Macaca fascicularis: one gene and its partners. The protein of the gene in region 2 interacts with the protein of the main gene of each other region in a pairwise test. Links are inferred from orthologs where the notes say so. Each region holds a gene or a part of one and is shown on either strand. Other genes may lie near its edges.

Region 1 (4,118 bases), on a different chromosome or scaffold from region 2:
TGAGCTATGAAAGCCCAGCCGTTTTCAATAGAGAACGGTATGGACGAATTCTACAGGAGTGATGAAATGCTTCTTCTGCTCCGGCAATTAAGACAGCATAAAGTCGCCTTTCCTTTGGTGCCACCCCCAACATCAAAGGATTGGAATTCAAAGCCATTCATGCTGCATTGAAACCTCACAATGAAGCTGGAGAATGGAAGTCGATTACTGGGCATAAATATGCAGTAGTTAAAAGGAAAGAGTTATAACGAAATTAAATGCAGCAACCCCACAATGTGTGGAAACTTCCAGCACTAGAGCCCTCCTGGTAAACATCCATAGAGCATCCTTCCCAACCAGGTCTCTGGCCACAGAGAGTCCAGATGGGCTGCCTGAGCCGCACGTGGCCAGTGTGCCAGGTTGTTCTGCCCATCTTGCTACAGCAACAGCCCCCAAGGCCTCCGAGAACATGGCATTTGCGGATTTTTATTTTGCATGGCTAGGAAGCTGCTGAACACAGAACATTGTCCCTGGTTCAGGACTCCGAGGCCACATCTGCCCTTCGTCCCCAGGCCTTCCAGGCCTATGTGCAGTCCAGTCATCTTCCCTCTGCCCCGCCCCTTAGCCCAGGGCTCCCCGGGGGGCATGCCTGCTGCCAGCTCCCCTTGCAGAAGAAAGAACCCTAAAGAGGGCAGCGTTGCCTCTGCCTGCTGAGTACAGCCGGCTTCTTTTCTAATTGATTACTGCTCTCTTTAGGATGGGATTTGATCTCTAAAATAAAAGCCCAGAACACAGAAAGCTATAGAAGTCTTACAATGTGTTGGGGTGTGTGTTTTTAAGGCATGAAAATACTTCCCTCCCACACAAATGTGAGTTCTTCTGGGGAAAGATGCCACAGATCCCAGAGAGTAGAATATCTGGGAAGGCTCGATCAGTCTTAAAAATAGGTAATTGAACACAGATTTTAGAATTCACAGGAGCTACCTGAAAAAAAATTAAATTTCACATATTTTTGATATCCAAAACTCCATTCTGATGAAACTTCTAACTGGGTGGCATTCTGCATTTCCAATTATAATAGAGTAATTGTGTTGCCATAGTTACTGCAAAATTCTGCAATAACTTTTGTTGCTTTGTAACTGCTGTAGTGTATATTTGTGTACAAGCAGCTGAGTTTTCTTAATTCGATCTCCCTCCCTTCCACCCTCCCTTTCCCCAGTCACCACCACCACCTTTCCTGGCTGGGTCCTGAAACCACCACACCAGCCTTCTTTGGACAGTCCCGAAAATAATGCACAGAATTATCAGAAGCAATTAAAACTCCAGGCAACCACGATCATATTACAAAAGAAAAAGTGAAACCAGGTCAAGGTGCAAACCTGCCAGTATCCCCCCAGTCCTGCTGGGCTGGCGCTGGGCCAGGGCTGTTTACAGGTTTACTCCCAGGCCTTAACTGCTTCGGTGATTTGTGGGAATAAACAGAAAAGCCTGAATAGAGAAAAACGGGGCGGCAAAGTGACTACACAGGCCCTTTCCTCCCTCACGGAGAGCAAGCAGAACTGCTCTCAGCAAGCAATTAGGTAGGTCTCTACAGTCATGCAATTAGGATTTAGTTAAGAAAGTCATTAGTTTTAAAATAACTTAAGTTTAATTTCTGCAACGCTTTATTTGAAAATTGTGTCACAGCAGGTCAATTTACAACATGCAATAAAGAAAACACTCATATCAGCTGCCTCAAGTTATTACAAATTTTTGATGTGCATTAAATGAGTACACTGGGTTCCACCCCCGGCCTTTCCAACTGATACGCACGGTCTCCTGCTATAACAGTGTCAAATAATTCAACGCTCAATGTAAATACGAGATAATTTGCTTATGATTCCGTGGTGTGTTTTCGCAACGCGGGGAAACGCGGATCCCACCCCCGAGCTGGACCGGGCCCCGTCTCGGCCTGCGGGCGCCCTGCGGGCTGAGCCGAGGGGGTCCCGGGCAGCACCCCCGCCTCCCGCGAACCCCCAGGCGCTCGCAGCGGCGACGACACGCGAGGGGCCGCGGACCCCGGCAGGGACGTTTTTCTGCAAACTCACAGCATTTGACAAAGTTACATAAACGGCGCCCGCCCGGCCCCGGCGCCCGCCCGCCCCCGCCCTCACTCCCGGCGGCCCGGAGCCCACCTGCTCGGGGGGCGCGGGCCCGGCACCGGGCGACGGCGCCGCTGCCTGCCGTGCCCACCCCCGCGCCCCCGCCCCGGCGGGCGAGGCCGCCTCGCGGCGCGGCTGGAAAGGTCCAGAAGGGGCCGGGCGGCCCTGGGGACCGGCGGGTCCCACGGCGCGCGGCCCGCGCTGGCCCCCGCCTCCCACGGCCGCGCGCGGGGCGGGTGTGGACCGGCGGCGTCCACCTGCCGCGGGCTCCGAGGCCTGCAGGCTGCGCGGGGCGCGGGGCGGACGGCGGACAATGGCCCGCGGGCGCCGGGCCGGGGCTGCGCTTACCGCGGCGGGCGGCGGCGGCCGGCTCTAGCCCTGCTCGGGCGCTCCGCGCCGCATCTCCTCAGCCTGCGCCGCCACCCGCCGGCGCGCGGGCTCGGGCTCGGGCGGCGACAGCCGGGACGCGGCCGCGGCGCCGCCGGGGGCCCAGGCTGGGAGGCTGCTCGGGCGGCGGCGGCGGCGGCGGCGCGGGCGGGCGCGCGGGTTCGGGCTCGGGCTCGGGCGGCGGCGGGGACGGTGCTCCGCGGCGGCGGCCCCACAACCTCCCCTCCTCATTCACAAAAAATTGACCCACGTTGAACCATGATGCTTCTCCCCCCTCCAGCGTCGAGCCGGGCGGCGATAGGCCACCCTGCACGCCCGTCAGCCGACCCGGCCCCGCCCCGCCCGCCGGCGGCTCGGCAACCACTGGCTGCGGCAGCCTTGCGTCACCTCCCCATATGGGCCCCGCCCTCCCGCCTGGTTTCTAATGAAGAGCTCGTCAATTACGGCTCGGCCCCGCCTCCCGCCCGCCCGCCCCGGGCGCCTGGCCGGCCTTCCATTGGTCCGTTGAAACCTGCGCACGGCCCGTCTGCTCCCACCCCTCGCCCCGCGGCTGCCCAACCGCGGGGCCGGACGCCCCGTGAGCGGCGGAGAGGCTCCACCCCTGCCCGCCTCCCCGCACGCATCCTGGACCTCATTGGCTGCTGGAGCTGTCAATTCTAGGGGGCGGGGCGTACCAAAAGACGCTCCAGGCGCCAGCCTCTGGGTGCTTCGCGGTTGAGGAGGCGCAGAGACCCGGAGCCAGTAGTGACCGTAAACACGGGCCCCGGCCGTGTCTAGTCCCACTCGGTAGCCCGCATGGCTACCTAGCGGTCAGCACCGCGTGTTTGCGAGCCTAATTCGCGCTTAGAGGGCACACAATGGGGTGCAGGCTGAGGCGGGGAGCTGGCCAGGCCTCGCCGTTGCCTCCATCTTGGGTACTGGCAGTGGGTCACGTGGTGCTGCGTGCGCACCGAGGCGCAGGGCGGCCCGGTCACCGAGTGCGCAGGCGCCGCGGGCCTCGCCCAGCCCCGCGGCGGGAACGCGGCTGTCTGGGTGTGCATGGGGTGCAGGTCTGCCAGGCCTGCAACTGCTGCTGAGGGTCGTGGGATGCGCTCGTCGGGTCCCTGCTCAGGCGGAGGGAGCCCGGCCCGCCGCCAGGGTCTCGAGTCACGGGCCAGGCAGGCGTGGAGGTGGTGGGAACTCCGCACCGGCCGGGCGGGTGTTGTTTTAAGGCCGCAGAGCTTGGGGGGCTTGTGTTGAGTTAAAGGTCGGCCCGTAGATCCCCGCAAGCGCCTTTGGTTGCCAGCTGGTGTGGGCGGGAGTCTTCAGTGGCCACCCTCCTGCTGGTGATGTTTCCATTTCTTTCCAACAAGAGTGTGACAACTTTTAAACTTGGGTGCACACACTGTCCCCGGAATCCCGCGTTCCAGGGAGGAAGCGCCTTTGACAGCGCGCGCCGGTGCGTGGGGCCTGACGGCGTGGGCCCAGGGATGCGGACCTGGCGGGGATGAGCGTTCGCTTCGATTGTGGGCCATTCCTCTTAGATGAGCAAGGATCCGTTTTTACAGCATTCTCGACCTTTGATTCTTGGCGGGGGGGGGAAACTGTAGTTGTGTGGATAAAAATACAGTT
Region 2 (3,500 bases):
GCAGAAAGGAGGAGGAGATCCTGGGAAGAAGCATTGTCTCCACCACCCTTTCAACCAGGCAAGGGATTTGTAGAGAAGCTTCTGGGATCTCTGAAGTGTCTACAGTGGTTCCCATCTTAATGGAAAGTGGGTGCTCCCTTTTCCTGTGAAGCTATGGGGAGAGTGGAACACAGACAACTCAGACAACTCACATTGAACACAGACAACTCACATTGGGAGGTACAGCCCTAAAGGACCACAGCCCCTAGGCTGGACAACTCCTTCAGTTCACCCAACCCCATTTGCTGGGGCCCCTGTTCTTCCTGGGTTGCATGCCCAAGAGAAGGACCAAATAGATGAAGAGGGAGGAATTTGTTCAAAGTAGTTGTGTACTAATAAGTGAAAGAGGATTGGGTAAAAAAAGAGTCACTGTAGGGGTGGGAAGCAACAATTTAGGTGCACACCCAAGACTCTTTAGTTCTGGCAGCTGTTTGAAATGGCTTATTGGCCAACAGACATAGTGGTCCTGAGAGGTGAGGTGTGATGCCCTCTACATATGCTCAGAGGATTGGCTCACAGTCCCGGAGCACCGGGCTGCACCCTTGCACTCTGACATGCTGGAAGTCATGTTTCCTGGAGCTAGTACAGCATTGTCATGAGAGTAGGAGCTTCACAGGTAACGCAGCCCTCATCCTGCCCTACTCCCACCCCACAGAGTCTGGAGGTGGTGCTGTACTACAAAGCCAGCCAGAGGAAATTAGATGGACTAGCAAAAGAGGAGGAAAAGAAAGAGGAGATGAAAGAGGAAAAAAAGGAGGAAGTGAAAGAGGAAGCAAAGGAGCAGTGTGGGGATGAGCTAGTTGCTGAGCCAGCAGATCCTGGGGAAGCTAAATCCACAGAAGATCAGGAGGAAAATGAAGAGGACAAAGAGCAAGAGGAGAAGGAAGAAGACAGTGAAGAGGAGGAAGATGACATTGACTCTTCCCTTGAAAGTCCTGAAGAAAACAACCCCCTCAGACTTTCCGAGAGTAAAAAGGTAACCGGAGCCAAAGGCTAGATCAAGTGGGAAGTGGGATCTTGGGCTCAGGTACCTCAGAGTTAATGGGTGGCCCTGCCAAGGATAGATATCTCCAGGAGTGGAGGCCTCGCACTGTAAGGCACGGCCCTTCGGGGAGGTGGAGATGCAGAAGGGGGAGGCGAGAGCAGTCTGTCTGCAGGAAATCACGGGCTCAGCCCCATTTGCTGTGGAACCACCTCACAATGACCACCTTTTCTGGGAACCAACGTGGGGTCCCTGGAGTCCTTTCATTTACATAGTAGCCTTTGTTACCTTCCTTATGTGGGGAGCGTTCCCTCATCCCTCTTTCGGCACTGCAGGAAGGACATTGACAGCGTGAAGTCTACTTCAGGCCATTTTTGTCAGCCTGGGCAAGTCACTCAGTCCGGTTTTCCTATGGTGCCCTGTTAGGTTTAACCTTTGTTGTCGCTGTTAGGGGTGTGTCAGGGGATAATCTCTTCTTTGTAGGCTTGTGTCGCCCCCTGGATTCTGGGTATCACAGGACATGAAGGTGGGGCCTGGGAGTGATCAAGAGTGATAGTGAAAATATTTCACGTCTGTACAGTAGGAGCATAGACTAGTCCAAGGAGACCATCCCTAGCCCTACAGTTGCTAGATCACTGAGAGGTTGGGGTGGAGGTATCCTGGGATATATATGCTAGAATGCCAGGGGTAACTTACCAACAATATAGAAGTACTTCCATATTTTATTAACTGGTACATCTCTGCAGGTATGTAGCAACTGAATTCTTGCCCTGGGCTTAACTCAGGGCCAGAGTCTCTACAGAGTTAGAGTATTTCCTGTGTAAGTCCTCAGCTTACATTACAGGTTCTTTCTGTTCTAAACAGAGGTAAAGAAAAAAGCCTCTTGTCCAGTCAACTCTGAGGATATCTGGAATTTCCGGCAATTGGGTCTTCAGCACTGGCTAAGGATCCAGTGTGCAGTGCTCTGCTTACCTTGTGCCAGGGGACCATTACCTAAGATGTGAAAAGTCGGAGCCACTGCAGCCCCTCCCACTATCATGTTTCCTTGAGCTCATCATATTCCACCATGTGCTGGTTCAGAGCCTTTACCTTCGGTGCCAACATTTCTAAAGCTAGACCTGACTTTTCTACTTCAAATACATTCTATGTTTCTATATATGGAGAGATCCCTTTGCCCCGTGGGTCCTGCGTCTTTTGCAGGCAGCTCTAGGGCATGCGTATTACCACTTTGCAAAAGCAGTTTCTCTCCGGAAGACTGTTGCAGCGAAAGAACTAGCCCTTCTCCCTTGTCAGTTTGTTTTGGTGCATGTTGTTTTACAATGATATCATTAGATTCCTAGGCGATCAAAGGGACAAGAGCCCAAAATACTAAGAAACTTGATGGAAAGCAGGCTAGAACAAAGGGACAGGTGGCCTGGTAGAAGACTGGCTCTTCCTAGAGCAACCTAGGAAAAGTATCTGCACTACTCCACTAAGGAAGCTGTTTACTTTCTGCAGCATCACAAGAAAGGTCTAGGTGCAGATACGTCCTGCTTGACAAGATATGAGAGGTATATGATGAGACAGAAAGAAAACTGGACTCACCGCCTGACTTGGACCTAGCTGCTGCTTAACCCATTCAATTTTGCAATTCCTGCAGACTGCCGGTGGAAAGAACCAAGGCCCAGGCAGCAGAAAAGACATGCAACTGCTCTAGCTTACCTGTTTTTTAACCTCTTGATTCCTTTCTCTTTTCCCTTTGTTTTCTCATCTTCATTATCTGTTGGATCCATGTGTTTATGTCTCACATCTCCTGGTCTCTCCTCGTGCTTCTTTCTCATTTTGGTGTGTTGCAGTCATCCCCTACCCCCGATCCCCCCATCTTCTCCTTGCCTCTTGTAGGCCTGGTGGTCATCTCGGCTTTGCTCTGGTGCTGGTGGGCTGAGACGTCGTCCTAATGCAGGTACTGGTATTGCTTCCTCTCCTTCTGAGGGATAGAGGGAGGGTGCAGGTTGCCCTGGCCTCTCCTCTTTCCCTTTTCTCCCAGCTGCTTGCTTCTTGCTCGTACTATTTTACAACAGGTGATGCTCAGGTCTGAGTTTTAGTTCTGACTTTTCCTTGGGCTACTGCAAAGCCTGTGACATCTCTGAGCATGTCTTTGTAATGCATAGGAGGTTGGAATGCTTGCCAGAGACATGGTTTGAGTTTCAATCCTTGGCTGGGAAAAACTTGGCTAAGCCCAGCTCGGTTGCTACTGTCAAAGCTGCCTCACTACTTCTTTTTCCCCGCTCATCCTCTGTGTGATGGCTAGCCTGACCACTTCTGATGAGCTGATGTTTGTCTGCAAGGCTGGCCTGGACTCTCTTTGTCTTTAACTCCAGAGTCAAGTTCTCACTACTGTTGCTACCCAGGATGGCAAAATAAGGAATCCCTCTTCTGTTGGGGGAGAGAGGAGGTCTGAAGAGCTCTGATCCTCATGATCATCCCAGGGGCACTGGTA
Region 3 (4,122 bases), on a different chromosome or scaffold from region 2:
AGAAATCAAATCGTCATGAAAACACACATATGGGTAACATTTGGAACCACTGGTGTCTTCAGCCGATCTACAAGCTAGATCACCCTCTCACCCTCTCCTTGTACACTAAAGGGCAGTCTTCCTTCTGGAAAACAAAGTTGGAAAGTTGCAACCTTGCAGCTCTGGCTTTGGTGGACGGAGAATTTCGGGGAAGCGTTCTCCTCCGTCTCGCGGGGTCAGCGGATATCCTCACGTTGTGGAGCTGTCAAATCCGTGCTCTGCCCCAAAAGGCTGGTAACAGTTGAACGCCCTCCAGCCATTCGGGGCTTTTTTGTCTGTGCAGCCACCGGGTTCTCTCGAGCTTTCCCACCCCGCCCCTCCTCCGACACCAGTCCCCGCCCTCCGCAGCTCCTCCCAGCGCCTCAGCAGCCGGCCGGGCGCCGGCAGGGAAGGCTCGCCGAACCCTGGCCCACTGGCCGCAGCGGCCGGAGGCTTTGGCGCTGCTGGAGGGCGGCAGTCTCGGGCAGCCGCTGTCTCGGCGGGCGGCGACGAAAAAAAGCGTCCCCAGCCCCGCCAATTCCGGACCCCCGGGAAGACGCTACTTCTCCGATCCCTGCACCCTCGCCCACCACCGCCGAGCCAGAGGGCATAGGGCGGCCCTGGCAATCCTCGAGCGCAGGGCTGGGCCGCGGAGCTGGCGGGGCGGCGGGGCCCAAGGCGCAAAGCCCGCCCTTCGCCCAGCCCCATCGGTGGGGATCAGCCCAGAGGGCGGGAGCAGGGAGGGGAGACGGGGTCCTCACCCCCAGCCCCTCCCCTTTCTCCGCCCGGCACAAACCGGGAGCCACCCCGGCCCCAGCGCCTTCTTCCCCGCCCAGGCAGACGCGACCCGCCGAGGCAAAGCCATTGGAAAAAGCCCCGCCCTCTGGCAGGCTACCTCCGGACCCCCAGTGCGCCGCGCGCGGCTGCCAACCGCTGCCGGCTGCTACGCATGCGTGACTTAGAACAGGGCACAAGCGCCTCCGGAGGCTCTAAGCTTGCGCCCTGGGGCGGTTTCCGTTCCCGGATGTTTGGAGTGTGTCCTGGAGAAGGGGAAGGAAAAAGTAAGGCGTAGAAGTACACTGAGACTTCGTCACACACAAAACAAGCACGACAAAGAAAAAGGGCACGAAGGGACTCCTGGACGAAATTGAGTCTACATTTAAGATCACCGTAAAAGTAGTGACGGCCTCTTTATTACTCCAAACCCCAGATTTAAGTCGGTGGGACGTCTTCGCGTTGACTTGTGGGGAATGTAGTTTTGATGCTGCCGGCGCGTTTTGTTTGCGACAGAAACTACAATCCCCAGAGGCCACTGCGACGTCGCCTGTGGCTGCCCGCGAACCAACGGTTAGCGGTGGCAGGGGCTGACTGAGAGTGTCTGCTTGGTAAGCACTGTAGGCTGGGTTGTCACCTTTCCTTGACAGGGTTTTTCCTTCCTCCATTTCCTCTGGGATTTTGGAGACGAAGCCATCTAGCGTGGCCTCCCTTAGTCCAAGGATTTTTCCAGTGGCTTGCGTGGGAAGGACTAGTCCAGCTGCCCAAGCGCGGGGTGTGGTGGGTGAGGCGAGGATTTAGGGATCCTGATCCCGAGGGTCGCAGGGAGCGGCCTAAGAAGGAAGGATGCTGTGGAAACTGGAGCTTCGGGCTGCTGCTTCTGCTTCCACCCTTTTCTGTGGGCAGGCGCGGGATGGATTTGGGATCTCTGCGCATTTGCACCTTTGTTTGCCTTTGCTTAGGGATGTGCTGGGCTTTATTTGCTTTTAGAAAGTCATTATTTGAGAAAAGTCGAGGTTTGAACGGCCATCAGTGGACTGATAATCGGTGTAGATTTTAATTCTTTATGTTGCAGAATTGCATTACATTAAATTCTAAAACTTTCATCTTGCTAGGCACTGAATATACAACAATGAGAAAGACAGTCTTATCCAGTTAAGAGGAACCAGTTGTTAGACATACAGTTACAATACTATATGATATCACTGGGATGCCTAGAAGGAGATCACTTAGCCCAGTCTTGGAAAGCCAGGGAAATCTTCATCCCAGCGGAAATGAAGATCAAAAGAACAGCATATGCTAAGGCCCAGAGCGAGAGATAGGGTACTTTCAGGAAACGTCAGTAAGCCAAATCATACATACTTGGCGGTGTGGGGTGGGAAGGGAAGGGTGCTTTTTGTGTATTGATGTACTTTGAAGCTACAAAGAGACACATATTGTGAATTCTTTACATTGTTTCTGTAAGTGAGCTATTTTTGAATAGATGCATAGTTCTGATGAATTGGTCGAATTTCAAAAGCCTGTTACATTCTAACACTTCTAGTTTGAATCCGAATTTTGAAAAGGGAATAACTTATGAATGTGATTGAGAAAACAAAACAAAACCATTCCGTTTTTATCTCCTTTTTGGGATGATCATCCTCTATCCAGCCCATAAAGGGTAGGGTAGTTTCTTAAGGCTGGGTGCCTTTTTATGCTGTAGTTAAATATGATCTCACGTGTACCCATGGCTTCACCAACACTTATGACTCTCAAATGAATAGCTCCATTCAGCTTCACCTCTCAGCTTTCACATATCTATCTCTTGGATATTTCTTCTTGGATATCTCAAAAGCATCTCAAACTCAACATTCCTAAAATCAAATACATAGTTATCTGTTACAAATCTGATTCTTTTTCAGTGTTCCTTATTTCAGCAAAGGACACTACCATCCATCTACTTGTGAAAATTTGAAAGCCAAACATTATTCTTTATTTCTTCTTGCCCTTCATACTTTTATGGCTAAATTATTACCAAGTTCTGCCAATCTTATCTCCCAAAATATCCTTCAAATATATTTTTCTCTCCACCTGTCTTCAAACTGTGGTAATCTCTCAAGACCACTACAGTAGCAGTTATTCACAATGACCCTCCTCCATTAGTTCTCCATTATAGCTACCAGAATGATTTTTTTGAAACTGCAGATCTGATCAGATTTTCTCTTGGTTAAAACTATTCAGTGGTGTCCTGCTACTGTTAAAATAAAGGCAAAACTCCTTTATAAAGCCTGACATCATCTGGTACTCTTTCAGACTCACTTCATATACTGCTCTCCAGATCAACCATACAGACCATTTTTCACTCATTGGTTCTCATATTCCATTTCACCCACACATTTACTCAACAAATTTCTGTTGAGTCCCTTTTATATAACAGGACATTGAGGATACAGCACTGACCACAATATATAAAAATTCTTACTGTCATAGAGCTTACATTCTACTGAGAAGAGATAGTAAATAAATATGTAAAACATTTAGTAAATGAAATGAAGACAAATGCAGTGGAGAATAAAACAACTGGGAAGGGGAATGGGGAGTGTCAGGATGTGAGGGGCTAGGTTTACTTTTAAATAAAGTGGTTAGAAAAGACCTAATCCAGAAGGGGACAATTGAGGAGATATGAAGTAGGGGAGGGAATAAACCATATAGATGCCTGGGCAAATAGCATTCTAATGAAGAGAGTTAGTGCAAAGGCAGGAGCCTGAGTGCACATTTGAGAAATAGCAAGAAGGCTAGTGTGGCTGGAACACAATGAGTACAAAGAGAATAACATGAGGTCACAGAGAAAGGAAGTAATGGTGGGAGAACATGTACGTGACTGAAAGGACTAACATTTTTAATTGAGTTGGGAAAGCATTGGAGAGTTTTGTGCAGATGAGGGCATGATCTGACTTTTTTAAAATGACTACTTTTCTTTCTCTCTCTCTCTCTTTCTTTTTCTCTCTCTCTTCGATGGAGTTTTGCTCTTGTTGCCCAGGCTGGAGTGCAATGGCACAATCTTGGCTCACTGCAACCTCCACCTCCCAAGTTTAAGCAATTCTTCATCCTTGGCCTCCCAAGTAGCTGGGATTACAGGCATGCACCACCATACCTGGCTAATTTTGTATTTTTAGTAGAGACAGGGTTTCACCATGTTGGTCAGGCTGGTCTCGAATTCCTGACCTCAAGTGATCCACCCACCTCAGCCTTGCAAAGTGCTGGATTACAGACATGAGCCACCGTGCCTGGCCTCTTTCTTTTTGCCTGAGGCAGAGTCTCACTGTGTCACCCAGGCTGCAGTGAAGTCAT

What was found.
Region 1: the proteins of CCDC136 (region 2) and HDAC4 interact in binary tests that used the Homo sapiens proteins (3 or more experiments, as listed by UniProt). The two-hybrid records come from large-scale screens. The link is inferred for Macaca fascicularis from reciprocal best matches to the Homo sapiens genes CCDC136 and HDAC4.
Region 3: the proteins of CCDC136 (region 2) and CEP57L1 interact in binary tests that used the Homo sapiens proteins (3 or more experiments, as listed by UniProt). The two-hybrid records come from large-scale screens. The link is inferred for Macaca fascicularis from reciprocal best matches to the Homo sapiens genes CCDC136 and CEP57L1.

Annotation. Positions count from the first base shown.
Region 1 is NC_088386.1:135,306,147-135,310,264, forward strand, and holds the start of HDAC4 (histone deacetylase 4), read right to left. Parts: upstream 2,801-4,118; 5' UTR 2,758-2,800; exon of another isoform or gene 2,154-2,757; intron 1-2,153. UniProt on the Homo sapiens protein: Responsible for the deacetylation of lysine residues on the N-terminal part of the core histones (H2A, H2B, H3 and H4).
Region 2 is NC_088377.1:170,274,989-170,278,488, forward strand, and holds part of CCDC136 (coiled-coil domain-containing protein 136), read left to right. Parts: intron 1-694; coding exon 695-1,015; intron 1,016-1,885; coding exon of another isoform or gene 1,886-1,891; exon of another isoform or gene 1,892-2,518; coding exon of another isoform or gene 2,519-2,623; exon of another isoform or gene 2,624-2,856; coding exon of another isoform or gene 2,857-2,958; exon of another isoform or gene 2,959-2,963; intron 2,964-3,500. UniProt on the Homo sapiens protein: May play a role in acrosome formation in spermatogenesis and in fertilization.
Region 3 is NC_088378.1:13,195,472-13,199,593, forward strand, and holds the start of CEP57L1 (centrosomal protein CEP57L1), read left to right. Parts: upstream 1-1,322; 5' UTR 1,323-1,403; intron 1,404-4,122. UniProt on the Homo sapiens protein: Centrosomal protein which may be required for microtubule attachment to centrosomes.